Canis lupus familiaris: one gene and its partners. The protein of the gene in region 1 interacts with the protein of each later gene in a pairwise test. Links are inferred from orthologs where the notes say so. Each region holds a gene or a part of one and is shown on either strand. Other genes may lie near its edges. The genes, in order: GRB7, LAX1 and KCTD6.

Region 1 (10,481 bases):
GGATCCCAGTTTTTAGCTATTTTGAATAAGGCTGCTATGAATGTTCATGTGTCTTTGTATGTACCTGTGTTGTAATTTCTCTAGGAGTAGAATTGCTAGGTTGCATGGTAAGTTTATGTTTAACTTTTTGAGAACTGACCAAACTGTTACTCCAAAATGCCCGTACCATTTTACATTCCCATCAGCAGTATATGAGGATTTGTTTACCCATATCCTTATCAACATTTACTGTCTGTCTCTGATTATAGCTATCTGGTGGGTGTGAGGTGGTATATCATCACCATAGTTTTAATTTGCATTTCTCTAATGACTACTGATGTTGAGCACCTTTTCATATGCTTATTAGCCATCCATCTCTCTTGTTTAGAAAAACATCTATTCAAATCTTTTGCCTTTTTTAAAAGGAGATTTTATTTATTCATTTGACAGAAAGCTAGAGAACACAAGCAGGGGGAGCAACAGAGGGAGAGGGAAAAGCAGGTTCCCCGCTGAGCACGGAAGCTGGAACACCTACGGGCTTGATCCCAGGTCTCTGGGAACATGACCTGAGTCGAGGGCAGAGGCTTAACCAAATGAACCACCCAGGCACCCCTCTTTGCCCATTTTTATTTTATTTTATTATTTTATTTTTTTCTTCGCCCATTTTTAAAAAAAGATTTATATATTTATTTGGGAGAGTGTGGGCACGTGTGAGAGTGTGAACAGGGGGAGGGGCTAAGGATGAGGGAAAGAATCTCAAGCAGACTCCCCACGGAGCACAGAGCCCACCTGGGACTCCATCTCACGACCTTTGTACGTCCCCGGATCATGACCTGAACTGAAGCTAAGAGTCAGCCTCAGCCGCTCAACTGACTGAGCCTCCCAGGCTCCCCATTTTTGCCCATTCTTAATTGGTTTGTTTCTTTATTACTGATTTGTAAGAGTTCTTTATATATTCTGGATACAAAGTCCCTAAGCAGATATATGATTTCCAAATGTTTCCTCCCCATCTTTACCAAGTTTTTTTTTTTTTCTTTTTTTAAGATTTTATTTATCTATTCATGAGAGACACAGAGAGAGAGAGGCAGAGACACAGACAGAGGGAGAAGCGGGCTCCCTGCAGGGAGCCCGATGTGGGACTGGATCCCAGGACTCCAGGATCAAGCCCTGGGCCAAAGGCAGATGCTCAACCGCTGAGCTACCCAGGGATCCCCTTTAATAAGTTAGTGATGTCTTTTGAAAGTGCAAAAAATTTTAATTTTGATGACATCTAATTTGCTGAATTTTTTTCTTTTGTCACTTGTGCTTTTGCTGTTGTATCCAAGATCTCTGCCTAACTTAGGTCACAAAGATTTTTTTCCCCTTGGTTTCTTCAGAAGTTTTACTTTAGCCTTTACATTTAAGTCTATGATTTATCTTGAGTTAATCTTTGTAGATTGTGTGAGATAAGGATCTAAATTCATCTTCTGGAATGTGGATAGTTGATTGTCTCAGAACCATTTATTGAAAAGACTAATCTTTCTGCCACTGAATTGTCTTGGTATCTCTGTCAAAAATCAATTGACCAGAAATGTCAGGGTTTATATTTGGACTTTTGAATCTATTCCATTGATCTATAAACCTATTTGTTGTTGTTGTTGTTGTTTTCTTTAAAAATTTCAGATATAACATACAGACAATAGAATTGGCCCTCTTGGGATCCCTGGGTGGCGCAGCGGTTTAGCGCCTGCCTTTGGCCCAGGGCGTGATCCTGGAGACCCGGGATCGAATCCCATGTCGGGCTCCCGGTGCATGGAGCCTGCTTCTCCCTCTGCCTGTGTCTCTGCCTCTCTCTCTCACTGTGTGCCTATCATAAATAAATTAAAAAAAAAAAAAATGAATTGGCCCTCTTCAGTGTACCCTTCTGTGAGTCCTACTTAACACACTGTTGTATATCTACCACCATGACAAAGATACAGAACAGCTCTACTACCGTCTCACAAGTCCCTGTGCCCTTTGCTGTTAATTCCTATACTCCTCCCTGCCCCTAGATCTGTTTTTTTTTTTTAATATTTTATTTATTTGAAAGAGAGAGAGAGAGAGAATGAGCAGGGGTGAGGGCCAGAGGGAGAGGGAGAAGCAGGCTCCCCACTGAACAGGGAGCCCCATGCAGGGCTAGATCCCAGGACCCTGGGATCATGACCTGAGCCCAAGGCAGATACTTAATGAACTGAGCCACACAGGTGCTCCTGCTTTCTGTCTTTATAGTTCCACTCCCTTCATTAAAAAAAAAAAAAAAAAAAGAAAGAAGAAAGAAAGAAAGAAAGAAAGAAAGAAAGAAAGAAAGAAAGAAAGAAAAAGAAAAAATATTTTATTTATTTGAGAGAGAGCAGAGAATACAAGCAGGGAGTGGAGGTGGGAGAGGGGCAAAGGGAGAGGAAGAAACAGACTCCTCACTCAGGGGGGTAGTTCCACCCCTTTTAGAAAGCCATATAAATAGAATCCTATAGCACTCAGCCTTCTGAATCTGGCTTCCCTCTCTAACCCTATCCTTTAACATCTAGAGCGATCTTTTCAAAATAGAAATCTGCCTGCTTCTCTGCGCCTCTACTTAAGCCCAGAGAGACACCACAGGGTCTGGCCTCAGCCCATAGTTCCTGCCTGTCTGGACAGACAGGATGGATGGCTCTCAAACCTGGTTTAACCACCTGAGGGCTTGTCAATACCACACATTCCTGTGTCTGGGCCCCAGAGACTTGAGATTCAGTAGGTGGGGAGGGGCCCAGGGATCTGTTTTTTCTACAAGCCTAAGGAGATATGGCAGCAGGTGGTCATAGGCCACACTCAGAAACATGGCTGAGTTCGAAGCACTTGCCTTTCTCCACACCTGCTTGAGTTTGCCAGTGTGGCCTCCTCTCCTTCCTCAACCCCACTCTGCCTCCCTCATGCCATGTCCCCTCCCGCTAAGGGCTTTGGCACTTGTTTCCTCATCATGAAAGGTACCCTCCTCCCCACATTCCCACCCACCCATCTTTACTTTCTCCCTATTCCAGTTTCTCCTCTGCTTGCTCCTCACTTCTACCAAGAAAGCTTTCCCACCTCTCTGGGTGAGTCATTCTCCCAGATACTTGTCACCTGTCATTTCTTATTTTTGTGTGATTTTTTTTTTTTTTTTTCTTTTGAGAGAGAGGAAGGGCAGAAGGGGAGAGAGAATGGGAGAATCTGAAGCAGGCTCCACCACCCAGCAGGGAGCCCAACACGGGGCTTGATCTCACAACCCTGAGATCATGACCTGAGCCAAAATCAAGAGTCCATCACTTAGCTGAGTGAGTCTCCCAGGTGCTCCTCATGGGATTCTTTGATTAACATCAGTCTCCCCAACAGGGCTGCATGAGGATAATGGCAGGGTCGGTTTTTCCTGCTCTTCACTATTTCTCTAGTACCAAGCATGGGGCTGGCATATAGTAGGTACTTAACAAATATTATCGAATGAAAGAAGGAATAATTGAGTGTATTGTCTCCTGTGCTTTGTAGAAGCTGCTCCTTGGCCCAAGTGACCTCACCCCCTTCCCACTTTTTTTTTTAAGATTTTATTTATTTATTTATTTATTTATTTATTTATTTATTTATTTATTTATTTATTTATTTTTTATGATAGTCACACAGAGAGAGAGAGAGAGAGAGGCAGAGACATAGGCAGAGGGAGAAGCAGGCTCCATGCACCGGGAGCCCGACGTGGGATTCGATCCCTGGTCTCCAGGATCGCGCCCTGGGCCAAAGGCAGGCGCCAAACCGCTGCGCCACCCAGGGATCCCCTTTATTTATTTATTATGAGACACATACACACACAGAGGCAGAGACACAGGCAGAGGGAGAAGCAGACTCCATGCAGGGAGCCCAATGTGGGACTCGATCCAGGGACTCCAGGATCACTCCCTGAGCCGAAGGCAGGCACTGAACCGCTGAGCCACCCAGCTGTCCCCCCTCTCCCACTTCTTTGCTTGGTCCACTCATACTGTTTTTTCGAGGAAAACCCCATTTGGAGAAAGTGGAGGCTAAAGCCACTCCCAGACCTCTTATCACCCTGAAGACTGTTTGTTTACCCACCTGTCACCCACTTCAGGTTGGGAGGTGGCCACTGCCTTGGATCTCTGGCCTTCCAGGCTTGACCCTTGGGTTTGCCTAATGTTGAAGCAGAGAGCTAAAGTGATCGCTCAAAGGGGAGTCTTCTGGCACCTGGCCAGATCTTTCCCCAGATCACTCCTCTCACCATAAGACTCTGCCGAACCCCTTCGATTTCAGATGAAGCTGAGACCCCTGGACTTTGCAAAGATCAGCAATCATACTCTGGGTGCCTCTGAGGGCCAGGGTGCAAGCTGGGTGGTAGCACTGTGGCTGGCAGTCAAGGGGCAGACCCTGTTGCTGGACACCCTTCTGGCTGGCTTCCCTCTTTTGCTGAGTGTTCCTTGCCCCATCAGGTGGGATCTAGAGTCGCAAGCAGCCCCCCTCGTGTGGCCTACGAGCAGACCCCATTTGGTGAGGAGCATGAGGAAGGGTGAGCGCCTTATCCCCTCACCTTCCAGCTCCCAGTCCCTCCCTCCCACGTCACGAGGGCTCTAGATCTTTGCTCTTGAGGCTTCTCAGCTCCGCTGTCTTCCCTGCCTCTCCCCTGGCACCTGCTACCGGGCTGAGAAGGGCAAAAACAATCCCAGCCAGCGTCGAGTGTCAGGGAGTCCCCGCCCCTCCTCCTAGGGTTCCTCCTCCCTAGCTTCTCCCCCAGGCCCCGCCCCCACCTGCCCAAGATAATTTTAGTCTCCTTGGGCCAGGAGCCTGGACACACAGGGCTCTCCCTCCCCCAACCCTCACTTCTACTCCAAAGTCGGGACACCCTCCTAGCACCTGTAGAGAAGAGGGAGTGGATTTGAAATCAAGCCCAGGTATCTGGGGTCCCTAGACAGAACCAGACTTCGGACCCCGTGTCCTGCTACTCCTCCTGGGGCTCCTCCAGGTAAGGTGACCAAGATCGGTCCCAGCCGACAGCCTGCCCCCACCCCCAGCCGCAACAGGGCCCCAGGCTGTGCCCGTGTCAGGGCCAGGGGCTGGCAGGTCGCCCAGGTGGGCGGACGGGCGGCCGCCTGGCTCCCCCTCCTGTCCCCCCCCCCCCCCAGTGATGTCAGGCCAAGGGCGGGCGCAGGAGGGGGACAGGTAGTTAAGGGCCTGGCGTCTCCCTCCCTAAACCAGTGGCCCCAGCCAAGTGTTCCTACGTCCAGGGTCCAGGTAAGGACCCAAGAGGGGCACTTCATCTTGAGGGTGGGGGGCAGCGGCAGGTCCCGGAGTCACTATGGAAAGATCCCGCCTCCTGCTGTGTTACTCTGGCCGCCTCGCTTCCTTTCTCCAGTCTCCCACATCCCGCCCCTACCTCACCATCTGCCTGTCTCTCCCTGTTTTCATTCCCTGTTCTCATTTCCTCCCCTTTGCCGGCCTCCCTCTGGCCCCCGGACAAAAAGCAGCTGATGGGGATGGGGAGGGAAGATCCGATCCTCTCCTCCGGGAGACGCCGCTTTCCCGCTGAAATTAGCCCCTCCCCACCTGCCCGGGAGGAGAGCGAGGAGCGGGGGCCGGAGCCCGAGGGCTGCCCCGAGTCATTCCTTGCTCAGCCTCCTGTTACCCGTTTCCCAAGGCTCCCAAGACTGCCGTCTCCGCGGGGGTGGGAGGGTGGGGGTAGGGGGCGCCCCCAGTGAGGAGGGCAGCAGAGGAGAGGCATCCATCCTCTAAACTGCTAGAGCTCGGCCTCGGGATTGTTTGCCGGCTCAAAGCACCGGGTCCCGCCCTAGGAAGGGAAGGTGGGGGCGGGGCAGGCCCGGGGGTCCCTCCTGGCGTCGGGATGAGGCTCGGAGGCTCGGAGGCTGGGGGGCCGCAGCGCCGGGGGGCCTAGGAAGGTGTGTGTGCGCGTGTGGGGGCGGGGGGCAGTGTTTGGAGAAAGCCCCGAGTCTCGGTCTCCCCGACACCCGAAGGGGATGGAGAATGCACCTGTCCGCCCTTGGCGGGCCTCCCCCCCCCCCGCCAAGAATGGCCCCTCTGGGTGGGCGCGTCCTGGACTCTGCTCCCCCTCTCCCGCCCCCGGTCCTGCTGGGGAGCCCTCCGTGAAGGCAAGCGCCTGTAATGATTAACTCCGCAGACACAATCTAGCATTCTTCCCAAATTAAACTTTAAGAAAGCTCACCCCCCCTCCTTTTCCCATTGGGTGTTTTTTCCCCCCAGAGTGAGGGAGTGGGCGGGGCCTCGGTCCTGGGCCCTCCCTCGGCTCCGGGTCACCTGGGGGTTTCCCGCCTCCTCGCTTGGGCCCTCCGGCACCCTCAGAACCCCGAAGGCTGAGCCCTCCCTCCCCATATACATCCCGCCGGGGGCGGGGCGTGGAGTGCTGGGCCACGCGGGGGCTTCCCGCCACCTGCTGGTCCCCAGCCCAGGCCTCGGCCGCGCTGGCCCCTCCCCCTCCTGGTGGCCTTGTTTTCTCTGGGCCCTAATACTGGGCCCTGCCACCCGCCCTTGGGGCCCGCCAGGTGGGGCAGGATTCAGGAAGTAAACAAGGAGACTGCAGGCTGGGAGGGCGGGCCGGAGGGTGGGGCCGCAGCCGCGGGGCAGGAGAGGCCGTTGGGGAAGCCTCTGTTTGGAGTTGTAGTGGGGGGGGCTGATAGATTTGGGGGGTCGGTTTCTTCAGCAGAAGCCGCTGGGCCTAGGGCCGCAGTTTGAATGGTTCAGGTCTCTTGGGAGGGGGTTCCCGACCCCGACAGCTAGGATCTGGTTCTCTTCCCATCCCATCTATTTGGTGCTGACCGCCCCATTCTCTTGCCTTAGAAGGGTCTGGAGGGCAAGGTGGAGGGATCAGGAGGCCAAACCCAAGTCTTCAGTGGCCCTCCAGCTCTCTAAGGCCAGACTCCCATCCAATGCTGATTTAAATCTACTCCGGTCACCCTGCCCAAACACTGCCCCGATTCCTCTTCCTTCTGGGATGGAGTGGGACCCTACTTTGGTCTCTGGCTTCCCTGCAGCCTCCCCCCACCAACCCCCTGTCTTCCTGGAGTGAAGTCATCAGGACTAGTTGCCAGAGGAGAGATGGGATGGGAGTGGGGACATTGTGGCTTGTCGATATTCTGGTGTCTGTTGACGCTCACTGGTGGATGTGTCTTGCCCTTCCCCAAAGGACCCTGAGCGCCCTCCCTGCCACTCCCTCCTGGCCTTTCCTTGTCTGCCTGTCTGTGTCTGTCCTCTCAGGTGTCTTGCTCCTCCTGTACCTGTAGTACCCCTCTGGCCAGGACACCGCAGAGTGTGTTAGGACCCTCATCCCCCAGGGTTGATATAGATGAGTCTTCTGGGCCCCCTGAGTCCTGGGTGCCAGGGGTGGGGCAACGCAGCAGCAGAATGAAAACCTGGTAGGCCCCAGACGGGATAGGGAGCACTGCGCGGTTTCTTTGGGTGAGTGAGGGCATCACTGGGAGGTCGGCTCTAATCCAGATGGGCCTTTGAATCCTAGCCAGGCCTTTTTCTCTCCTTGGGAGAGGGGGCTCCTGGGCTGGGTGGAGACTGAGGGACCCCAGGGCAGGTTGCAGGTCCCACCCAGACTGGAGGCGGGCCAAGGGTGGGGAGGAGAAGATGATGTCAGAGGAGCTGCGGGCCCCACATCTCCACCCCCCCCCCCACCTGTCCCTGCCCTGAGCCTCCCCCATTCCTCCCAGGCTGTCAAGGTTGGGGGCGGGAGGGGCCGGAGGTGGGTTGAGGCAGGGCTGTTTGTGTTTCTCCTAAGCCAGGAAGTCGTGCAGATGAGTCAAGGTTGAATAGAGAGCCCCAGGCAGTGCTGTCCCGCCCCACCCTGACTCACCTGTCCCCCAGATCCCCTCACTTAAGGGTCAGGGGCCTGCTCCATTGCCAGGTGCTGCAGGCTGCCTCAAGGCACTGGCCTAGGTCTCAGGTTCTCCCAGGTCCTCCCAGGTTCTAGCCCTGCCAGAGGGGTCTGTGCTGCCTCTGTCCCCAGTGGGCATCTTTGCCTCTGCTCTCCTGTCCTCACTTGCCCTCCTCTGCAGCACCTGTGGGTGCTAGGACGTGGGTGAGACTCTGGCCCTGCCCGGGAGTGCTGGGTGGCTCCAGACCAGTGGGTGGACAAAACAGGTGCGCTTCATTGGCACAGAGGCCAGTGCAGAGAGGGAGCCCTTCAGTCTGAAGGCGGAAAATCCAGGAAGGCTGCTCAGAGGAGGTGACTTTGGCATTGGGGCTTCAGGAAAGTTGGGCAGGAGGAGGAGTCTGGAGAGGGCACGCAAGGTTTAGGGGCTGCTGGGGCAAGGGTCCCCAGGCTAGTCCTGTCTGAGTCTGCCTCCTGCCCTCCTGGTTCCTGTCCTTTTCCACCTCCTTCTCCCCTTCTGGCCATCACTCAGCACTTGGGCAGGCGTTGCCACAACAGGCTCTGGCAACTAGATCTGGCAACAAAGCACTGGAAAAACCCGGGGCAAAGCCCAGAGGAGTGAGTGTCCCATGCTCGGGGCAAGCTCAGAGACAGAGTCAGCCTCGACCGTATGTGGGTCATGGAGTCTGTTGCTGCTGCCCAGCTGGTGTGTGCGGGGGTACCCTCTTAGCTCTTCCCCTGAGCAATGTGGGGCCAACAGAAGAGCATTAGATTTGGAGTCAAAACAACAAAGTTCCATCAAAGTTCCACTCATTGACTCACCTGTGATGGGGGCAAGGATGCTTCCTTCTTAGGGACTTGATGTCCCCTTCTTGTAAATGGGCTCATGCTACCCTTCCCCAAAGGTTCCAGGGAAACTCCAGTTAGAGGGGGAGCAGTAAGGTGCCGTGTCAACTCGGAGGGGTACCTTTACAGCGGTGTGAAGTCTGGAGGTCTGGGTCCACTTGGCCCTTCTCTGCAGGACAAGGGCACACGAGCAGCTGCTTTCAGTCACCTCTTCTCCCTTAGATGTTATGGAGCTGGGTCTGTCTCCACCTCATCTCAGCAGCTCCCCAGAAGACCTGTACTTGGCTCCTGGGACCCCTCCTGGGACTCCCCCACCTCCCGATGCTCCTCTGCCTGGGGAAGTGAAGAGGTCCCAGCCTCTGCCCATTCCGACCAGCAGGTACAATGCGGTGATGGAGCTGAGAAGGGGCTGGTGGGGGGGGGGGGGCAGTCAGTGTTGGGTAAGTCAACAAATTCTCTCCCCATCCCCCACCTCGGGCCACAGGAATCTTCTTCGAGAGGAAGAGCTACGGTCAACCTCTCTGCCTTCCATCCCCAACCCCTTCCCTGAGCTCTGCAGTCCTCCTTCACAGACCCCCATTCTTGGGGGGTCCTCTGGTGCAAGGGGGCTGCTCCCTCGAGATGCCAGCTGCCCCCATGTGAGTTGTCTTGGGAGAGAGAAGGCAGGGATATGGGGGTGCTATGGGACTGAGGCGGGTAGGGTGCCCCCTCCCTGGAGGGGGGAGGGAAATTCAGTCAGGAGTCCCTGAGGATATAGCAGGCAGGGGAAGGGAAATAACCCCCCTTCACCCTTCCTCAAGTCACCTGCAATTCCTGGGGTGCAGGTAGTAAAGGTGTACAGTGAAGATGGGGCCTGCCGGTCTGTGGAGGTGGCGGCAGGTGCTACAGCCCGCTACGTGTGTGAAATGCTGGTGCAGAGAGCTCATGCCCTGAGTGATGAAAACTGGGGGCTGGTGGAGTGCCACCCCCATCTAGCACTAGGTGAGTTGGGGTGCCAGGGGCTGTCTCGGGCAGGGAGGCAATGCTTCACACTTTGGGCTAGGCAGGTAGCCCCCCTGGGAGGCCTGTCTGGTGTCCGCTGACCACTGCTTTCGGCCCTTGACTCCAGAGCGGGGCTTGGAGGACCATGAGTCCGTGGTGGAAGTGCAGGCTGCCTGGCCCATTGGGGGAGACAGCCGCTTTGTCTTCCGGAAGAACTTCGCTAAGTACGAACTGTTCAAGAGCTCTCCGGTGAGTGTGTGTGAAGGGCGTCTGGGCACTGGGACACCCGGGCCCCCAGCCTGGGCCCATCGTCCCTGATTCCTGACTCTTCCCCCCAGCACTCCCTGTTCCCAGAAAAGATGGTCTCCAGCTGTGTGGACGCACACACAGGCCTATCCCACGAAGACCTTATCCAGGTAAAGGGACACCCCCATTCCATGGCATATTCATGATTCCCCAGGATCGCCTATTGCTTTTTTGGTCCTCAAGCATTGTGCCTCCCTCTATGTGGTGGGGAGCCTCGCACAGTCCCAGGTGACTGGACAAGTCCCTCCTTCCTGGCTGAGTGTCAGTTTCTTGGTCTGTGAAATGGAACAATAAATGCATGTGGAGCACCTTCTCTTCTGAAGCTGTGTGTGTGTGTGTGTGTGTGTGTGTGTGTGTGTGTCTCCCTTGTCTCCCTCTTGGCCTCTCACCCTCTTCCTGCTCTCTTCTGGCCTCAGAACTTCCTGAATGCAGGCAGCTTCCCAGAGATCCAGGGCTTCCTGCAGCTTCGAGGGTCAGGACGGAAGCTTTGGAAACG
Region 2 (10,460 bases), on another chromosome or scaffold:
GCATAGCTGTTGGCATGAGTATGGTCTCTGTACAGCCAGAGGGTATTGCCTGCTTGGGAGGGCTATAAGCAAGAAGAGAAAGCCAGTGACAGGACTGAAGCAGAAATACAGGTGAAACCTTTCTACTTCCCCACCCAGGACCACTATCTAATAGTTCCTTCACTTTGTTCTTTACCTTGTAGAACATGTCTAAGTTGGAGGTCTCCAGTTGCAAAGCTTTAGATCATGTGCAGGTATGAGTAGTGTGGGCTAAGTTTAGGGAACACAAGTGTAAATGTGATGATAAATTGCTGCTGGTTTTTGGTCACAGTGTGGGTGTTCAATGGGGAGTCTGTAGAGGGGAATAGTATGAACTGGAGAGAGCCTGCTACCTCTGAGCCTTGAGAGGCAATAGAGTACAGTGGCTAAAAGTAGTGACTCAGCCTTAGACTCAGGGTGGAAATCCCAGCCTCGCTACTCTGTGCCGAGTTTGGGCAAAGTTACCTAATCTCTTTGTGCCTTACCTCCCTCGCAAATAAAATGGGGAGAGCCATAATATCCACGTGATATGGTTTTTGTGAGGAGTAAGTGTGTGACTATGCATAAAGTGTTGGGAATAGTTTCTGGCACATGGAAGACACTAACAAATGGTTGTTATTATTAAAGGGGCACCTGGCATACAGACCCAGCCCATTGTGACCATTTAGGGATGCCAGTCTGATGTTTCTAGAGCTTCTGACTTTTCAAGAAAAGCTGGACATCCAGATTTTAATGTGAAATCTTTTAGATTTTTAAATGTTGGCAACTGGTTCCAAATGTTCTTCATCTACTACACAGTCCGTAGCCAAACATGTGTTGTGGCCTCATATCAGTTTGGGATGGAGTGCTAGAACTCGCTTTGGCAGTGACGTTTCGTCCTCCCTGCACATTATCAGCCATGCAAGCTTGGTCCCCCAGGAGTTTGTAGAGGTGAGAGCAGAGCCCAAGGATGGGATATGTGGGAGGAGCACTAGAGGTGTCCAAGTGCTAACTGAACGTAAAGCTCTGGGTAGTGAGAAGCTGGGTAGCAGCAGGATCAGCAGCAGCGGTAGGACTGTGTTCATCTGAGATGACCACAGAGCCAAGGGACCGGTTCTTCAACAAGCAAGTGAGAGCTTATCTGTTGGAGATGAGGCCCCTGAGCTTCCAGGTCCCCCCTTTCCTGTCTTGGGTGTCTCTGCCCCACAGCGTTGTGGGGCTCCTCCTTGAGGGCTGCCTTTAGAGCCAGGTCACAGGACACACTAGGTCATTGTTATTCATTGTAGTGTTCCCATGGTAACCTCAAAAATACCCCACGTTTGATCAAACACTTTCTACACCAGCTACAGTCCTCAATGACTTACAAACATACCTGCTATTGAGGATAATTGAAACCATTTGCCATGGGCCCCAGAAGTAATTCCCAAAAGCAGGGTTTTAAGGATGTTTCGAGCATCCACAGCATTGTTGGAATATTTGTATCCTCTCTCGAGGTAGGATACAGCATTGGAAGGGACAATACTCATTTGAGTGAGCTGTTACCTTTGTTAAAACAATACATTTCCATTCTAACACCGTATCTTTGAATACATGTGCCCTGGTATCTCACTTAAAATCCTGAACAACTGTTCCTACCTTTCATGATTTTTGTCCCTGGGCAGTAGGGAGGTCCCTGAGGCTTGTCTTCCCAATTTATCAATAGGGCCACAGGGCAACTGCCAGGGGACTTGTTGTTTGCCAGGAAAGGAGATCTGTGACCTGAACTTATTTACCCCAGTTCTGCCCGAGAAATGTCCTCTCTCCCAAGGGGCTTGTCCTTTCCCTTGACTCTTACCACAGGATCAGAAGGAGGGCTATCATAATTTCTGGAAAGGAGGCTCTCGGTACTGAAAATATGGTTACTCCTTGACTGCCGTCTCCCTGAAAGGACAGAGAACAAATCCTGAAGATAGCCAGCCAGTCCCCTGAGCGCTTCCACCTCCATGGTCCCCGCATCGTGGTTGATGTGGGTTTGTGTGGTGTCGGTATTTGAGGCCGGTGTGCTGTGGTGAGAGGGGCAGAGCTAGGGAGAATGATGTGCTCTGAGGCCTGGGACTGTCCTCTGTTTTTAACAAGGACCAGAGGACACTAATTAGCACAGAGTTTAGAGCAGCTGGGGAGGAGGCTCCTGTAATGCCAGAGGCCATGCTCTTCTTCTGTATGTGTCCCCCATTCCTGGACATACCCATCCAGGACTTCATATCAGGACAAATAAAAAAAAAACCCAACCCAGACACCTCCCAGCTCCCTTTTTTTTAGCTCTGTAGGCCCCTAATGGAGTTACAGCCTGCTTCTGACTATCCCGTCCTCCTCCACGCTCCCTGAAGGGCAGAAAGGTCTGAAAATGTAAAGAAAGTTGCTTCTGAAAAAAAAAAAAAAAAGAAGAAGTTGCTTCTGGGGCAGCTGAGCAGTTTAGTGCAGCCTTCAGCCCAGGGCGTGATCCTGGAGATCCAGGATCGAGTCCCACGTCAGGCTCCCTGCATGGAGCCTGCTCCTCCCTCTGCCTGTGCCTCTGCCTTTCTCTCTCTTGCTCTGTGTCTCTCATGAATAAACAAATAAAATCTTAAAAAAAGAAAAAAGGTGCTTCTGGGTATGAGAGGTGCATTCTGGATGAAGTTCAGTAACATTTGTGCTCTGCAGATTAGAAAGAAAAACCTACCCAGCTCTCCTTGCCTCTGGGGTAAGGAGTCATAAATATTTTTGGCTCCTTGTCTGGGTCGAGACAGAGAAAGTAAGGGCGTGATGGTAACTCGGAAGTAAGGAATGTGTCCTGCAAGACAAGGAGAGAGATGGAGATCTCAGTGGGGGCAAGTGGTACCGAATGCAGGGACCCTTAGGTGTGAGATAGTCCCTGAAAATATTCCCCATCCTCACTATGTATCATAAAAAATACATTTTCACACTTGCCCAATTCCATTTGAGCCAGAAGACTGGGAGAAGAAGCAAGTGGGCAAGTAGGGGGTGGTGGCAAAGGGTGGGCATAAATGTCTCAGGGCAATGACCTGCCAAGTGGAACTCTGATTGGCACTGAGCCTTTCAGGGGCATGGCTTAGACTCTCAAAAGTGAGACAATGGCCAGTGTGTCAGGGAAGAACAGAAGAGAACAGAGTTTATGTCTGGAGAATAAACTTGGCCTTGAATGCCAGGCTAGATGGTGGATCCTCGTGTGTCTCCACTTGGGACAATCAAAGGACTCACGCTGCTTCTTCCATTTATTCCAGTTCCATAGGCTGTAGAAGATCAGAGTGGTCAGTAGGACGGCAAGGAATCCTGCAAACCCAGAAAATATGGCTCTGCTCTGGTCTTTCTCTCTGTGGGGAAAAACAAGGGCCATTCTCCAGCTGTAGGAGGCTGAGAAGGCTGGAGAAAAGGTTTTCTGCAGGAATTGGAGCCCGAGGACTTGGAATGGGAGCCGGCCGGAAAGCTGAGGTGGGTAGGCTGTGTGGTTGAAGAGAGTGTCTTCATTGTGGACAGAAGGAAGCTGGGCATTACCCCTTTGGAAGCCCTACTGGATGCCAGGGGTTTGGGTGTGTGTTAATCTCTACAACATCTCATCTCTCCTTGTGGCCAGAAACCTGAGATTTAGACTCAGAGAGGCTGAGTAATATATCAAAGATCACACAGGTGGGAAGGAGCAAAGATGGAACGTGAGTCTAGGTCTGTTGGGGCCCAAAGATTGTGCGCTCTTTCCAGTGTACCACACTGTCCTCCAAACTGGCAAAATCAGGTTCACCTGCCCCTGCTTCCTCCTCATTCCCTACTCCTTGGTGTCCTGTCTTGTGTGGAAGAGGGAGCTGCTCTGGGACGGAGTCCGGCTTGCGGACATTTGAACAACCCCCACGTATAGACTTGCAGAACTGGTCTCCAACAATACTTGCTGTTTTGTGGAATGTGACCCACACAAATGCAGGAGTGAGTTTCTGCTGCTTGTGGTTCCCTGACAGCACGGGGTTGCTGCTCTGCTCTGCCTACTGCAACAAGAAGAAGCCAATGGAGGATACAGCAGGAATGGCCAACAGACCCAAATGTTAGAAGCCAGGTCAGCTAGTCCTAGGCTTGTTTACCCAATTCTCCTGGACATTTCTGCTAAACTGCCCAATGGACATCTCAAACCAAATATGTCTGAAACAGAATGCCTGTTCCTCTCCCATAAGCCTGCTTCTCCTCTGGTGTCTCCCATCAGCTAGTGGTTGGAGCTATCCTTGACTGCTCCTTTTCTTTCACACCTCAATTATTCAGTCAACCAGAAAATTCCATCTGCTCAGCTCTGGGCATCTTTCCCAAACCCAATCACCTCCACTCCTCCATTGCCACTCCTTGCTTCCACATGGGTCTTTGCAGTAACCTCCCTAGTGCGTTGCCTTGCCTTCCCTCTTGAGCCCCACATACTAGCTTCACACATGAGCCTGCATGATCCTCCTCACAGTAAACCAGATCACATCCCCTCTCTTCCTGTGACCCACATGACTTTGATCACACTTGGGATAACATACACAATCCCTACTCAGTGAGGACTTCATGGCCCCTTATGGTCTAGCCTTTGCCCTCCTCCTCCTCTTCCTCCTCCTTCTTCTTCTTCCTCCTCTTCTTCTTCTTCTTCTTCTTCTTCTTCTTCTTCTTCTTCTTCTTCTTCTTCTTCTTCTTCTTCTTCTTCTTCTCTCTCTCTCTTTTAAAAATATTTATTAATTGAGGGATGCCTGGGTGATTCAGCGGTTGAGCATCTGCCTTGGGCTCAGGTCATGATCCCGGGGTCCTGGGATTGAGTCCCATAACGGGCTCCCTGCAGGGAGCCTGCTTCTCCCTCTGCCTGTGTCTCTGCCTCTCTCTGTGTCTCTCATGAATAAATAAAAATAAAATCTTAAAAAAATTATTATTATTATTTTTAAATTATTATTTGAGAGAGAGAGAGAGAGGAGTGGTAGAAGGAGTGGGAGAGAGAATCCCAAGCAGGCTCCAAGTTGAGCATAGAACCGATGCAAGGCTAGATCCCATGGCCCTGAGATCATGACCTGAGCCGAAATCAGGAGTTGGACACTTAACCTCCTGAGCCACCCAGGTGCCCCTCTGCCTACCTTCTGACCTCATTTCCTACCACTTTCCTTCTGGCTGGTCCCTGTCCGTGCATAGCACACTGCCACCTCAGACCCCCAGGTCCTCTCCCAGGGTGGGGGTGGGGGGGCAGGTAGCTCCATCTCTCATTTCCCTCAAGTCTCATCTGAAATATCACCTGCTCAGACAGGCCTATTACTCCCAGTCCCCTTAACTCTGTTCTGGTTTTCCTTTATACACTTAAGACAGATTGACATTTTATTATATATCCATTTGTTTGTCTATATCTGACTTTCCTACTTGACTGTAAGCTCCAAGAAGCCATGGACTTGTCCATCCTATTTACCTGGTACCTGGAACAGTGCCTGGCACTTAGCAAGGGCAGGGTGAATATTTGTGGAATAGATGAGTGACTTAGTAAACACGAATGAACATAGAAGTAGTTATCTGGGGGGGCCTCAGGGTTCTGACAGCTTCATAAATTCAGTCCCCATCCATGCTCCTTCCACCTGCAGGTGACATATATGTGTTTGTCATGATAATACATTTATTTCCCTAAACGACAGTGATTTGAAATTTATTATTGCTGAGTTGCACTGTTATCACAGCACTGAGATTCATACCTACAAGTGTTGTTAAAGTTTCAACCACTCTTGGACTTTTTATGTTTGTTAGTATGATCCTGCAAGTTTTAGCAATAAAATGTATAGCCATGCTGAGTTCTATGAGATTTTATATCCTAAAGACATATCTTTATACATCGATGATTGCATTTTCCATTCATGGAAAGTTTTTAGGACCTAAAAATACATCACTGAAAGAAAACAGGCCTGTTGTTTCCATCATGGTGGCTCCTAATTTTTGAGGGGGAAGGAGGAGAGTGGTTGTTGGGACCTGATACAGGGAAGATTGAGGACAGTGACTGGGACCTCTGGGAGGTAAGAAATCCACCCAGGCCAGACAGCAAGGTCTAAGGACCCTCTCCCTGCAACTTCCTTTTCTCACCGATACCCATTCCTTCCCTCCCAGCAGTCCTGGGCAAGCTTCTCTAAGCCTAGAATCTGGTGGTCTAAGGGGACCTGAGGGCAGTCGTGAGGGCTAGGAGCACTGCTGGGGTAGAAGTGCCCGGGGTCGGCCAGGGCTGTCTGTCTAAATCAGGGGAGGGTGGAGCTCACCACCCTGAGTTACTCACCTGTCCAGGCTGCCGGCAGTTACCTGCAGAGTCCTGGCTTCCAAGATCCTCCCTCTGATTTCTGAAATGGTCGGGGTGATCCCATCCATGGTCATAGAAACCTCTCTGGCTTCAGCTTCTTCTTCTAAGCTTTCTCTCAGTTATCCACAGCTAACACATGCCACTTCTCCTGGCTCTTCCTAAGTGACCATCCATCAGGAGAAAAGGCGAAATTGACTTGCGTTTTGCATACCATCATAACCACTTTTTTAAGTAGATAAGAAGACTAGAAATCCTCCTCATCTCCATGTTTTCCAATCTTTCTAGAGCTTTCTTTCCCCCAACATTGCGTCTACCTGGCGTCTACCCCTGAAATGTTAGGCTGCATTGAGCCCAAACACAAAAACAACACGTTTGGTTCTACCTGGATGTGGCTACAGTGTCCACTGTGGGAAGCACGAACTCAGCCTGGTGCCATGCGCCCCAAGAGAGGTGGCTCAGGGAGATGCTATGCGCTCAGCCTCCTGGTGAAGTGTGAGGAGTGTAGGGGGGAAACTGCCAAGAGGAGAGAGAGAGAGAGAGAGAGAGAGAGAGACTCCGTGAGAAGCTCATCCCCTCCCAACCCCCAGAGCAGAGAGAAAAGAGCAAACATTTGCCAGAATGGAAACAGAGAGTCGTCACAGGAAACGACAGCACTGATGTGCTAATGAGGCATGGGGCACAGGAAATGCTGCTCAGCTATAGCAAGATAGAGGAAGACATGTCTGCACCCCCTGTTCCCTGGGTCGGCTGGGTGTGTGGGGGGGGCTGTGGGGGGGCACTGTGGTCTGTGGGGAGAGTGACTAAAGATGGGGCAAGGTGGTGGGGGATCCATGATTGTTCCTATGGGTTTTTGGGACGGGCTATTTTCATAGACACTTCCTGGGTGATTTTGACAAAGCTGGTCTGTGTTTTCCATTTTGAGCATCTCTGGGGATTACCCTCTGAACGGAGCCAAGGCCAGGTCAGTGTTGGCCATTCCTTCCCGGAGCCCTGCCCTCCGTGGCCCCTGGCGGCCGGCTCTCTGCAGGACTCTTCTGGAGGTCCATCCCCTTGTTGTGCACCTGTCTCGGAGGCCAGAAATCTCATTCCTGCTCTTTTCTCAGACTTAGACAATTGTTCAGATTTGTTTCTGGCTCCCTCCTCTCTCCCTTATCAACTTCCCAAAAGTCTCAGCACCTTGGGAGAGTCCAAAGAGAAGGGACCAGGCCACTAGGACTTTTACGGGGATGTGAGGGGCCTCTGACCTGGCTTTCCACAGGGAAATGGACTCCCTCCCCATGGCAGGGAAGACAGCCAGTGCCTCCGCACCTCCCATCTCTTCCCTGTGGGCACTAAGGTCCCAGCTCCTGGGGACGGGGGTGGCTGTCTACCCTGGTCTGCACGTCCAGGTGCCCCCAGAACCCCAGAGGAGAGGGTGCAGGTGGCCTGAGTGGCTCTCCCAGGAGCTCTGCCCTCTGGGCTCTGGCTGCCATCCCCCCACCTGGCCTTACCTGGCAGGAGCACAGGTGGTTCAGGGACAGCTGGTTCAAGAGCTGGACCCTGGGGCTTTGCCCGCTTGTCCTTGGGAAAGGGTCTGAGTAGAACTAGGGCTCCTCAGGAGAAAAAGACCTGTCGCTCCAGGCCCTGCGGCCAGGACTGGAAGAGCGAGCGGGATTCCCCAGGCCTGTCCTGAGCTGCGCGCGGCGGGTGGCCGCAGAGGATGGCGTGGGAGCTGGGAACTTGGAAGGCGGTAGGAGAGGGTACAAGAGAAGGGCCGATAGAACCAAACCTCACGACCCTGGCTGCTACTTAAAAAAAAAAAATAATTTTTTCTTTTTAAAGACATTCTCCTGTGTGATCATCTGAAGACCTTGTTTTTTTCTTATCTTATCCAGAGTGTCTGAGTCAGACTAATCTTTCCTCTGGTTTCCTGACTGTCTCCCCCACCGGCGGCCTCCCCACACTTGAGGGCAACAGTCTTCTGAAAGGGGGTTCCACAGAGCGAGCTCCAGGTTTCCAGACCTGCCTGCACCCTGCCACCTGCTCTCCTTTCCCTCCTGCTTGTGCAACTGCCAATCAGACCCACAAACACTAAATCGGTGTGTGAAATTATTCATCGTAGTAATGGAAGAAAACTGCTCCTTCCGGGGAAATAGGGCACATGTTTTAAGCCTGATGGCTCTGGTATTTCCCTTTAACCACTTTTAATGATTTCAGGGTTGAATGTGACATGTGATCCCAAAGTATTAAGATTAGGGGTGCCTGGGAGGCTCAGTCGGTTGCACATCTGACCCTCGATATCAGCTCAGGTCTTGACCTCAGGGTCACGAGTTCAAGCCCAGCATTGGGTTCCACTTAAAAAAAAAGTATTAAGATTATTATTATTATTATTTTAAGTATTAAGGTTATTTTAAAAAAATATTTTATTTATTTATTCATGAAAGACACAGAGACACACAGGCAGAGGGAGAAGCAGGCTCCTCACAGGGAACCCGATGTTGGACTCAATCCCAGGACCTTGGGATCATGTCCTGAGCCAAAGGCAGATGCTCAACCACTGAGCCACCCAGGCACCCCTAAGATTGGTTTCAAACGGACACTTATGCATCCAAGCAAAACCCTTTGAATGGAAGGGATTGACTCTGTACTAACTCAGTGGTGTGGTTTTTAGTATTACTAAAAACCTTCCAGAATCTTCTGGAAAGACAGAAGCACTGTGTTAAGAGCATCGATACAAGATCAGATCCTAAATGACTGCTTGGACAGGTCATCTATAATCTTTTTGGGTGTTTCCTTGGATGTAAAATAGCAATACTACAACATAGGTAATGCAATTATGAAAATTGCGCTGACAATGAAAAATGCTTTGCTGAGGACTTGGCATGTGCAATCTCATTAAATGGGGGGTGCTATTCTGTGATCATCTTATTATATATTAGGCTCATTTCTTTATACTTAATGGATCGCCTCCTTTGGTCTTCGTCTCTTCCTCTCTTGATGCTCAGCCTACCTTTCTACCATGTGTTCCTCTATTCCTTGAGTGCAGATTTATGGAAAGTCTCCCACCACATGGCACTGGGCACACCGGCTTTGTACATGCGGTCTGACCCACATGCAGCGGTGAGCCTCAGCTGGCACCCCTAGCAGGCACTCTGTACTCCATGCACGCCCCACTCTTGTCACTTCCATGCTCTGGGCCTTTGCACTGATTCATTCATTGTGACAGCAGTTTCTTTCTCTCTCTCTCTCCCCCTCATAAAATTCCAATAAGATCCATTTGAAGAGTTTATACTGGTTATTTCCGGGTTGTGGGGCTTGAGGTATTTTGTTACTTTCTTCATTGGACTCTTAATGCTTGAATTATTATAAGGATAAAGTGTCATTTTTATAAAAAAATAAATTGGTTATTGAAATATATGTCATAAGAGTCACCACCTCCGTGAAGACTTCCTCTCCTGGAACTGGGTTTGGCTCTTCTGGGTCGCCATGGCAGCAGGCATGATAGCTCTCGATTGCTGGGATTAGTTGTTTAAGTGACTGTCTCCTCAAGTAGACTTTGAACCCCTTCAGGGCAGGGACTTTGTTTTATTTATTGCATCTCTGACACAGTGCCTGACCATCAGAATCAAACGGGGCCTCTGAGAAGTTCTCTTAGGTGCTTATTGTGGCTGTGAATTCATGGCCTAAGTGTATAACAGGGTGAGCTGTTGAGAAAGAAATGGGTGTCTAGTATTTTCTCCTGTTGCGTGCTCAGCAGCGAAGGAAAGGGAAAAGCAAGCCCTTGTTATCCCTCGAAGGAAGGGCAACCTGGCTCCTGTGTTGGGTCTCCTTTGCCCCAAGGAGGGGTTAATGATGGCTTTCATGTTTCTGGGCCAGAAAAATGCCAAAGTTGTCCTGTGTGAAAGACAACTCCAGCCAGGCTTTGTTCTCGAAGGCTTAGGGGCTGAGGCAAACCACAGCAGGGTGACAGCTGGAGCCTGAACGGTGGCAATCCTCCACATTCCTTATTCACTTGCTCCTATGCTGGAGGCCGCCTCCAGTCCAGGCAAGTCTGAAATTGAGAACAAAGGCTGCAAATATTTTCCTTTTAAGTTCAAGTTGAAAGAGAGCAGGATTAGGACAAAAAGATTTAGAAAATATGGAAATATTGCTCTGCTCCCTGCTCCCACTCTGCCCAAGGCCC
Region 3 (10,663 bases), on another chromosome or scaffold:
TCATGATTCTAAAATTTATATAGTAAAGTAATAGAACTAGAAAACCAAAATGATTTTGAAAAAGCATAATGTTATAGGAATCCCACTACCCTATTTTAAGAATTATAATATACTTACAGTTATCAAGACAGTATGGTATTGGAGGAAGAAGGACAGAGATAGATCAATGGAACAGGATAGACTCCAGAAATAACACCCACACGAGTTTGCCTAAATGATCTTTGACAAACATGCAAAAATAATTCAATGGAGAAAGTAGTCTCAACAAATGGTATTGGGGTAATTGGACATACTTAAGGAAAAAAAAAACAAAATCTCAATCTAAACCTAAATCTTAGACAAAAATTAACCAAAATAGATCACAGATCTAAATGGAAAACATAAAACCATAACACTTTTATAAAAAAGAAGAAAATCTTTGTATGCTGGTGTTGGGTACAAATTTATCAGATATAATACCAAAAAGCATAATCCATAAAAGAAAAAAGTTGAAAAATTGGACTTCATCAAAATTAAAAACTTTTGCTCTGTGAAGTATCTTACAGGATGAAAAAATGTCTCATAAACTGAAGAACATATTTGGATATCACATATCTGACAAAAGACTTGGATATAGAATCCATAAACAGGGATGCCTGGGTGGCTCATTGGTTGAGCATCTGCCTCCTGCTCAGGGCATGATCCTGGGGTCCTGGGATTGAATTCCACTTTGGGCTCCCTGCAGGGAGCCCACTTCTCCCTCAACCTATGTCTCTGCCTCTTTCTCTGTGTCTCTCATGAATAAATAAATAAAATCTTTAAAAAAAAGCTCTCTTTCTCCCTCTCTCTCTCTCTCTCTCACACACACACACACACATACACACACCTATTAGAATAAACAAATTCAGCAAATTTGCATGATATGAAATCACTCAAAAGTCATTTGTATGTCTATACACCAACAATGGACAATCTGAGAAGGAGATTGAGAAAGCCATTCCACTTATAATACTATTAAAAAGAATAGAATAATTAGGAATTAACTTAACCAAGGAGGCTAAAGACCTAAACACTGAAAACTACAAGGCATTGCTAAAGGAAATTAAAGAAGATACAAGTAAATGAAAGACATCCTCTGTTTATAGACTAGACGGCTGAATATTGCTAATGTCAATACCACCTGAAGCAATCTACAGATCCAATGCAGTCCCTATCAAAATCCCAATGACAGCGTTTGCAGAAATAGTAAAACCTATCCTAAAATTCACATGGAAACTCAAGGAACCACAAGGGGCCAAAATAATCTTGAAAAAGAATTAAAAAGCTGGAGGACTCAGCTTCTGATTTCAAAACTTATTACCACACTATACTAATCAAAACAGTGTGGTACTGGGGTGCTTGGGTAGCTCAGTCAGTTAGGTGTCTGACTTTTAGTTTTGGGTGGAGTCATGATCTCAGGGTCCTGGGATCAAGCCTTGCATCAGGCTGCCTGCTCAGCAGAAAGTCTGGCTGTCTCTCTCCCTCTGCTCCTCCCCTGCCCTCTCTCTTTCTCTCTCAAATAAATAATAAATAAATAAAGTCTTAAGATAGGGGATCCCTGGGTGGCGCAGCGGTTTGGCGCCTGCCTTTGGCCCAGGGCGCGATCCTGGAGACCCAGGATCGAATCCCACATCAGGCTCCCGGTGCATGGAGCCTGCTTCTCCCTCTGCCTGTGTCTCTGCCTCTCTCTCTCTCTCTCTGTGACTATCATAAATAAATAAAAAAAATTAAAAAAAAAAAAGATAAAACAGTGTGGTACTGGCATAAAAAGAGACATAGAGACTAAGAAACAGACTAGAAAACTCAAAAATAATCTCTCCCATATATGGGTCAGATGATTTTCAACAAAGGTGCCATGACAGTCAACAAGGAAAGGACAATGTTTTCAATAAATGGTATTTGAAGAACTGGATAACCACATGCAAAAGAATGAAATTGGACCCCTACTTTACACCATCTATAAAAATTAACTCAAAATGGATCAAAGACCTAAACATAAGAGTTACTAATATTAAACTCTTAGAAGAAAATATAGGAGAAATGCTTCATGATATTGAATTTAGCAATGATTTTTTTTTTTTTTTAATTTATGATAGTCACACAGAGAGAAAGAGAGGCAGAGACACAGGCAGAGGAGAAGCAGGCTCCATGCACCGGGAGCCCGACATGGGATTCGATCCCGGGTCTCCAGGATCGCGCCCTGAGCCAAAGGCAGGTGCCAAACCGCTGCGCCACCCAGGGATCCCTGATTTTTTTTAAAAGATTTATTTATTTATTTATTCATGAGAGACAGAGAGAGAGGCAGAGACACAGGCAGAGGGAAAAGCAGGCTCCATGAAGGGAGCCTGAAGGAAAACTCCATCCCAGGTCTCCAGGATCACGCCCTGGGCTGAAGGCAGGCGCCAAACTGCTGAGCCACCCAGGCATCCCTAGCAATGATTTCTTAATTATGTTAAATCAGAAACAAACGGAGACCAACCTTGAAAATTCCATGAACCGACAAAATCAGTTTAAGCATACAAACACAGCTTAATTTAGCTTAAGCAAATTAGCTTGCAAGGCTAACTTGATCTGGGTAATTTCTTACTTGTACCCCTATAAATGATAAGCAAAACTTGAAGTGTTTCCCAAGGTTAATATGAAGTAATCACTGAAAATGTGATATCATAACCAATCACCATGAAGAATAAACTCACTGCTTTCTCACTATATAAACTGCTCTATTAGCAATATACTCCTGAACCTCACTTCATACTTTGGTTTGAATGTTCCTAGCCTACAAACTGTCTTTTTGGTCTGTGCACAATAAGTTTTTACTAATTACTACCTCAGTGATTCATTGGTTTTACTTGGGCTATTTTGAATCTTTGACAGATATACCAAAAGCATAAGCAATAAGAGAAAAAATTAAAATAAATAAAAATAAAAATAAATTAAAAAAGAGAAAAAATAAACTGGATGTTATCAAAATTATAAACTTTTGTGTAACAAAGAACACTATTATTAGAGTGAAAAGGAAACCCAAGGAATGGGAGAAAATATTTGCATAACATATATATTTGATAAGGGATTAATATTCAGGATATACATAGAACTCCTGTTAATTCAACAACAAAACAAGAACTCAGTTGAGAAATAGGCAAGACTTGAACAGTCATTTCTCCAAACATACAGATGGCCAAAAAGCACATGAAAAGATGATCAATATCACTAATCATTAGGGAAATGCAAATAAAAACAAAGATGAGATACCACTTTACACATATTAGGATGGCTATTAGCAATTAAGCAGAAAATAGTAAATGTTGGTGAGAATGTGGAGAAAGTGGAAACCTTGTGCATTACTGGCGGGAATATAAACTGGTATATCTGCAATGGAAAAGAGAATGGTTATTCCTCAAAAAAATTAATCCAGAATTAACATGATCCAGCAATGCCACTTCTAGGTTATACCCCAAAGAATTAAAAGTAGGGGCTCAAATAGGTATTTGTGAACTAATGTTCATAGCAGCATTATTCACAAATCTAAACATTGAAAACAACCAAGAGGTCCATCAACAGAAAAATGGATAAACAAAATGGGATATATGCATACAATGGACTATTACTTAACCTTAGAAAGGAATGAAATTCTTTTTTTTTTTTTAAGATTGTATTTATTTATTCATGAGAGACACAGAGAGAGAGAGAGAGAGAGAGAGAGAGAGAGAGGCAGAGACACAGGCAGAGGGAGAAGCAGGCTCCACGCAGGGAGCCTGATATGGGACTCAATACCCGGGTCTCCAGGATCACACCCTGGGCTGAAGGTAGCATTAAACCGCTGAGCCACCGGGGCTGCCCAGGAATGAAATTCTGATACATGCTACAATATGGATGATCCTCCAAGACATTACAATAACTGAAACAAGCTAGTCACACTCACTCACACACACAAATACTGTATGATTTCACTTACATGAGGTAGAGCAGTCCAATTTATACAGATGGAATGGTCATTGCCAGGGCTTAGCGGAAGGCGGAAATGGAGAGTTACTGTTTAATGAATAGTTTCCTTTTGGGAAAATGAAAAGGTTCAGGAGGGGTACCTAGCTGTAGAGCCACCTGTAGAGCGTGCAACTTACGATCTCAGGATCATGCCTGATCCTTATCCTAAATTCATGCCCCACACTGGGTGTAGAGATTATTTAAAAGTAAAAAGAAAAGAGAGAAAGTTCTGGAAATGGATAGTGGTGGTGATTGAACAACAATATGCACATATTAAATGCCAATGAACTATATGCTTAAAGTGGTAAATTTTATGTGATATATATTTTACCACAATAAAAACCAATCTAATTAGAATACGAACAAAAGAACAGACACTTCATCAAGGATGGATGGCAGAAAAGCATATGAAAAGATGTTTAATAATTAACCATTAGAGAAATGTAAATTAAAGTCATGAGGGACACTGCTACACATGTATTACAATGGCTAAAATAGAAAATATTGATAATATCACACACTGGCAAGCATTTAGTGCAACTGGATGTCTCATACTTTGCTGGAGGTCATGTAAAATGGTATAGCCACTCTGGGGCAGCCTGGGTGGCTCAGTGGTTTAGCGCCGCCTTCGGCCCAGGGTGTGATCCTGGAGACCCGGGATCAGTCCCATGTCGGGCTCCCTGCGTGGAGCCTGCTTCTCCCTCTGCCTGTGTCTCTGCCTCTCTGTGTCTCTCATGAACAAATAAAATCTTAAAAAAAAAAAATAGTATAGCCACCGTGGAAAAACACTCCAATATAATCATACTGCTCGGTATTTACCTGAAGAAATGAAAACTAATGTTTAAAAAGCCAGTGTTCATTGCAGGTTTATTGGTAATAGCTAAAACTGGATACAAACCAAATGTCCTTCAAGGAGTGAATGGATAAACATGCAACCACTTAGAGATATAAAGAAACGTTGATACACGCAACAACTGGAATGGATTTCAAGAGCATTAGGCTGAGTGGAAATAGCTAATCTCCAAGAGTTACATATTGTACGATTCTGTGTTGAAATATTCTTGAAATAACAAATTATAGTGATTGAGAACAGATTAGTGGTTGCCAGGAGTTAGGGGTGGAGGAGGTAACAATGAGGTAACAGGAGGGAGGTGCTTTGTGGGGATGGAACAATTCTGTATTCTGGCTGTGGTAGTAGTTATGTGAATCTGTACGTCTAATACAATTCTATAATACTACACTCCTCCTACCCCTGCCAGAATGCATATAAAAACTGATGAATGGGGGATCCCTGGGTGGCGCAGCGGTTTGGCGCCTGCCTTTGGCCCAGGGCGTGATCCTGGAGACCCGGGATCGAGTCCCACGTCGGGCTCCCTGCATGGAGCCTGCTTCTCCCTCTGCCTGTGTCTCTGCCCCTCTCTCTCTCTCTCTCTGTGACTATCATAAATAAATTTAAAAAAAAAAACTGATGAATGCTGTATAAAGTCTCTACCCGAGTTAAGAGCATTGCACCGTTATCAATTTGGGGGATTTGACAATGTACTATGGTCATCCAAGATATTGGGCAAAGATAGTTGAAGGTCACATGGATGCTCTTTGCACCAGTTTCACAATTTCTTGTGACACTTAAACTCTTTCAAAAGAAAAGAAAAGAAAAGAAAACTTAAAGAAAGAAAGGAGGGGTGCCTGGCTGGCTCAGAAGAGCATGGGACTCTTGATCCCAGGGTCATGAGTTTAAGCCCCAGGTTGGGCATAAAGAATATAAAAGAAAAAAAAAAAAAAAAGAAAAGGAATAAAGTATTGATACACTTAACGACATGGATGAATCACAAAAACATGTTGCTGAGCGAGACGCAAGAATGATAGAATTCCCTTTACGTCAAGTTCTAAAACAGGCAAATTAAGTTACGGTGATGGCGATCAGATCTGTGGTTGCCTGTGGGGTGATGTGTGGGGAACGATCGGGAGGAAACGTTGAGGGAACTTTCTGAGGTGGTGGGGGAATGTGCATTTTACTGTGGTCGAGGAAGCGAAAAGCTCTCTTTAACACATTTCGCTTGAAATGACCAACCAAAAAACAAAAAAAAAGATTGAAAATTCTGGATGAAGGACTTTCTGACGACTGACAACCCGAAGTGACTTGAGGAAAAGTGGAGGTAACAGTCATCACGCGGGAGGGTTCCTGTGAGAATTACAGGAGCTGGACAGCACTTACTACGATGCCCGGCACACAGTAGGCGCTTCATGCCTCGATGAACACTCCGGTTCGCATTCCAGGGAGCAACAGACGGACAGCACGGTCCGGCCCGGGGACCACCGGGCTCGTTCAGAGCGTGCGCAGGCGACACTTGGCGCCCTACGGGTTTCAGTGCCCGCAAAAGGCTGACCCAACTCTGAAGGTCCCCGCAGCCTCAACCTAACGTTCCTCAGAACCTGCCTTCCGGGCACCGCGCCTCAGGCAGCACCGCTTACAGACGCGTCCCGCCGCGCAGCGCGCACCGCAGCAGCCGCCCGCTCCCGGGAAGTTGATTGGCCCCGGCCCCAGAAACAGCGGTAGTACCGCCCCACGCGCCACCTAGGCCCCGCCCCTCGGCCCCTCACCCGGCAGCGGATGGGCGGGGCACGCAGGCGCCGCGCGCTGCCATTGGCCTGAGCTGGCGCGGGAGGCGGAGCCTGAGGCGACTGCGGTCCTGCGGTGTTGTCATTCGGCGGCGGCTGGAGGACACGGTCAAGATGGCGGCGGTGTCTGGCCTGATGCGGAGACCCCTGGAACAGGTAGGCAGCGGCATGCGTGCCTCCGCGTGGTCTCTGCCCGCCTTGCGCCCCCTCTCAGCGTCCTCTCTCTCTCTTTTCGCCAGGTGTCGGGGTTGCTGAGGAGGCGCTTCCACCGGACGGCGCCGGCGGCGCTGCAGGTAGGTGGCCTGGGCGCTAGCCCGAATCCCGGGAGGGACGCGCCTGCGCCGTGGGGACAGGGACGGCACGGGCCCTGAGGTCCACGGGTTCCCACATCCTGCGTGGGACTCCGAGTGCCTCTGTTGCGACCCAGCGCCGGACACACCAGCAAGTCGCCCCGGCCAGGCTCACTGGAATCTGTGGGCGATCTGAGGAAACTAGACCTCGCGCTTCCTCCCTCAACCGCCCCATTTACATTTTTCAAGTAGAATATACATAACCAGATTTACCATTTTAAAGTGTATATTCAGCGGCAGTACTTCCGTTTACTATGTTGTGAGACCATGACCACCATCGGTCTTCAGAACTTTATCACCATCACACACAGAAACTCTCCACCCCTTAAACACGAACGTCCCATTTCCCTCTTGCTCCCGGTAACCTCTTTGGCACTTTCTGTGCCTTTGAATTTATCTATTCTAGGTGTGTCCTGGAAATGGAATCCTGCAGTGTTTGTCCTTTTATATCCGGTTTATTTCACTTAACATATGTTTTCAAGGTTCATTCATGTTGTAGCATGTGTCAGAATTTCATTTCTTTGTTTAAGGTTGAATAATATTCCATCTTATGCATATATCACATCTTGTTCCTCCATTCTGTCTGTTGATGGACATGTGGGTGTTTTCACCTTTGGGATTTGTGAATAATGCTGCTAAGAACACTGGTGTGCAAGTATCTGAGTCCCTGCTTTTATTTCTTTTGATCATCTCTAGAAGTGGAATTGTTGGATCATATAGTAGTTCTGTGTTCAACTTGAGGAATTTCCTACCCCGTACCCCCTCCTTTTTTTCTTTTTTCTTTTTTTTAACTAGAGGACTCTCAATCTGTCTAGTAAAATAACTTGTAGATTCTGAAGGTAGTGTTTGGAAGTTCCCAGTACCTAGTGAGTGCTCAAAACATAGTTTTATTTAGGCTTTCTTAACAGTTTTCTGTCCCATACTACACTGACTGTGGAAATAAAACAACTGAATAGAATTTTTACTCAGGAAACTTGAGCTGGTCTGGCCAGCAAACAGCTTTTGTTAAGTTTAGGTGCACATTAAGAAAAGCATTCAGTATTTTCATTAACAAATTCAGCCAAAGACTGTGTATGAAAATGTTACTTTTAGAATTCTTTGAACTTTTTTTTTTTTTTTTAGAGATTTATTTGAGAGAGAGAGAGAAGGGGCACAAGCAGGGGGCAGAGATAGAGGGAAAGGGAGAAGCCGATTCCCTGCTGACCCTGCTGAGCAGAGAGCCCACTGCAGGGCTCAATCCCAGGATCCCGGGATCATGTCCTGAGCTGAATGCAGATGCTTAACCAACTGAGCCACCCAGGTGCCCTCCCCTCACCTTTTATTTTCATTTTTTTAAAGATTTTATTTATTTATTTGAGGGGGGGATTCTTTGAACTTTTAAAGAGAAGCCTGTCCTAGCGATAGTTTTCATACCGTATGCTGTAGGCAGCCTAGTAATTATAAAAGGAGAGAATCTCAGTAGTATCTGAAATAATCCTGTAGCTTATTGGCTGTTTTCCCCATACCTGTGACAGGTGACAGTTCGTGAGGCTATAAACCAAGGTATGGATGAAGAGCTGGAAAGAGATGAGAAGGTATTTCTCCTTGGGGAAGAAGTTGCCCAGTATGATGGTGCATATAAGGTAACCCAAGATATGTGAAAGCGATATAAATTGAGGTGGCTGTTTGCCCCCATATACACTTAAAAGTAATGAGATCATTGTGTAATTTTAGGTTAGTCGAGGCCTGTGGAAGAAATATGGCGATAAGAGAATCATAGATACTCCCATATCTGAGGTGAGCCTTCCATCAGGACGCAGACTTTTCAGGGGCATGTTAAAGTGTACACTGTTCTGATTTTTATGGATTTTCACTTGTGTTTGTGTTTTACTTCTAGATGGGCTTTGCTGGAATTGCTGTGGGTGCAGCTATGGTGTGTAATCCTCTTTATGAATCTCATCTAAAGAGATTTTTTTTTAATAATTAAAAAAATTTTTTTTGTATTTTTTATTGGAGTTTGATTTGCCAACATATAGTATAACACCCAGTGCTCATCCCGTCAAGTGCCCCCCTCAGTGCCCATCACCCAGTCACCCCATCCCCCCACCCACCTGCCCACCTCCCCTTCCACCACCCCTTGCTGGTTTCCCAGAGTTAGGAGTCTCTCATGTTCTGTCACCCTCTCTGATACTTCCCACTCATTTTCTCTCCTTTCCCCTTTAATCCTAAAGAGATTTCTTTTAACATGACCTTTTAAAAACATTGAAGTTTGGAGTGGTTGCCACTTTTTATTGCTTTTTAGTTTTTCTAAGATCTCTGTTTTTTATTTGACAGGCTGGGTTGAGGCCCATCTGTGAATTTATGACCTTCAATTTCTCTATGCAAGCCATTGACCAAGTTATAAATTCAGCTGCCAAGACCTACTACATGTCGGGGGGCCTTCAGCCTGTGCCTATAGTCTTCAGGGGGCCCAATGGTGCCTCAGCAGGTGTGGCTGCCCAACACTCACAGTGCTTTGCTGCCTGGTATGGGCACTGCCCAGGCTTAAAGGTGGTCAGCCCCTGGAATTCAGAGGATGCAAAAGGACTTATTAAATCAGCCATTCGGGATAATAATCCAGGTCAGTAGAGTGAGCCTTGGGTCTCTTTTGAACATTGAGGAACTAAGTTGAAATCTTTGCCTGGAAGGAAGCCGTTTAAGGGTTCTAGTTAGGCTTAGACATATAAAATGTTATGATTTACAGATACAGCAAAGACCATTAAAAAGGTGTTGTTTTTGCTTTTCTGACTATATGGGGCCTATTAGGTACCTACAACACCATTTTAACTACAATAGATAAAATTAGGACTGACCAGACTATAGATGCCAGTACCTAAACCATCCTCTCAGGGCTACTGGACACAATAGATAGGAGGCTTCCTAATCTGCACAGTGAAACTTTGCACAAAATGAATGATAGTTATGTATATACATTTGGTCATGTAGTTAGTTCTGTTAAACATTTGTATTTTGTAGTGGTGGTGCTAGAGAACGAACTGATGTATGGAGTTCCTTTTGAATTTCCCTCCGAAGCTCAGTCAAAAGATTTTCTGATTCCCATTGGAAAAGCCAAAATAGAAAGGCAAGGTAAGAGCACTTAGTACATGCTAAAGTATTTGTAATCTAGCTCCTGTATTTATGTTTGTCAAATTCTTTTTTTTTTTTTTTTTCCAAGAAGTGTGGGAGGGCCAGAGGGAGAGAGAATCTTAAGCAACCTCCATGCCCAGCAGGGAGCCCAACCCAGGCTCAGTCTTTTTTTTTTTTTTTTCCAGGCTCAGTCTTAACAATCTTCATGACCCGAGCTGAAATCAAAAGTCAGACACTTAAGTGAGCCACCCAGGCACCCTGGTCGAACGATTCATTCTTGAAGTTCCTGCCCTTTACTTTGGTTAGGAAATTATCAAGTTAAGAAATCCATCATGTTGGGGATCCCTGGGTGGCTCAGTGGTTTAGCGCCTGCCTTTGGCCCAGGGCGCGGTCCTGGAGTCCCGGGATCCAGTCCCGTGTTGGGCTCCCGGTAGGGAGCCTGCTTCTCCCTCCTCCTGTGTCTCTGCCTCTCTCTCTCTCTCTCTCTATGCCTATCATAAATAAATAAATAAATCTTTAAAAAAAAAGAAAAGAAAAGAAAAGAAATCCATCATGTTGAGGCACCTGGGTGGCTCAGTTAGTTAAGT

What was found.
Region 2: the proteins of GRB7 (region 1) and LAX1 interact in binary tests that used the Homo sapiens proteins (3 or more experiments, as listed by UniProt). The two-hybrid records come from large-scale screens. The link is inferred for Canis lupus familiaris from reciprocal best matches to the Homo sapiens genes GRB7 and LAX1.
Region 3: the proteins of GRB7 (region 1) and KCTD6 interact in binary tests that used the Homo sapiens proteins (3 or more experiments, as listed by UniProt). The two-hybrid records come from large-scale screens. The link is inferred for Canis lupus familiaris from reciprocal best matches to the Homo sapiens genes GRB7 and KCTD6.

The regions. Positions count from the first base shown.
Region 1 is NC_049230.1:22,698,651-22,709,131, reverse strand, and holds the start of GRB7 (growth factor receptor-bound protein 7), read left to right. Parts: upstream 1-4,754; 5' UTR 4,755-4,966; intron 4,967-5,134; exon of another isoform or gene 5,135-5,235; intron 5,236-6,275; exon of another isoform or gene 6,276-6,537; intron 6,538-8,920; 5' UTR 8,921-8,925; coding exon 8,926-9,077; intron 9,078-9,182; coding exon 9,183-9,336; intron 9,337-9,522; coding exon 9,523-9,679; intron 9,680-9,806; coding exon 9,807-9,928; intron 9,929-10,017; coding exon 10,018-10,095; intron 10,096-10,401; coding exon 10,402-10,481. UniProt on the Homo sapiens protein: Adapter protein that interacts with the cytoplasmic domain of numerous receptor kinases and modulates down-stream signaling. Promotes activation of down-stream protein kinases, including STAT3, AKT1, MAPK1 and/or MAPK3. Promotes activation of HRAS.
Region 2 is NC_049259.1:1,022,764-1,033,223, reverse strand, and holds the start of LAX1 (lymphocyte transmembrane adapter 1), read right to left. Parts: upstream 6,923-10,460; 5' UTR 6,681-6,922; intron 6,457-6,680; 5' UTR 6,373-6,456; coding exon 6,278-6,372; intron 3,348-6,277; coding exon 3,235-3,347; intron 2,807-3,234; coding exon 2,696-2,806; intron 1,918-2,695; coding exon 1,832-1,917; intron 63-1,831; coding exon 1-62. UniProt on the Homo sapiens protein: Negatively regulates TCR (T-cell antigen receptor)-mediated signaling in T-cells and BCR (B-cell antigen receptor)-mediated signaling in B-cells.
Region 3 is NC_049241.1:32,431,603-32,442,265, forward strand, and holds the start of KCTD6 (BTB/POZ domain-containing protein KCTD6), read right to left. Parts: upstream 6,268-10,663; 5' UTR 6,218-6,267; intron 1-6,217. Other genes in the region: PDHB (pyruvate dehydrogenase E1 component subunit beta, mitochondrial), read left to right, coding at 6,736-6,777, 6,861-6,914, 8,486-8,593, 8,685-8,747, 8,848-8,883, 9,285-9,570, 9,966-10,076. UniProt on the Homo sapiens protein: Probable substrate-specific adapter of a BCR (BTB-CUL3-RBX1) E3 ubiquitin-protein ligase complex mediating the ubiquitination and subsequent proteasomal degradation of target proteins.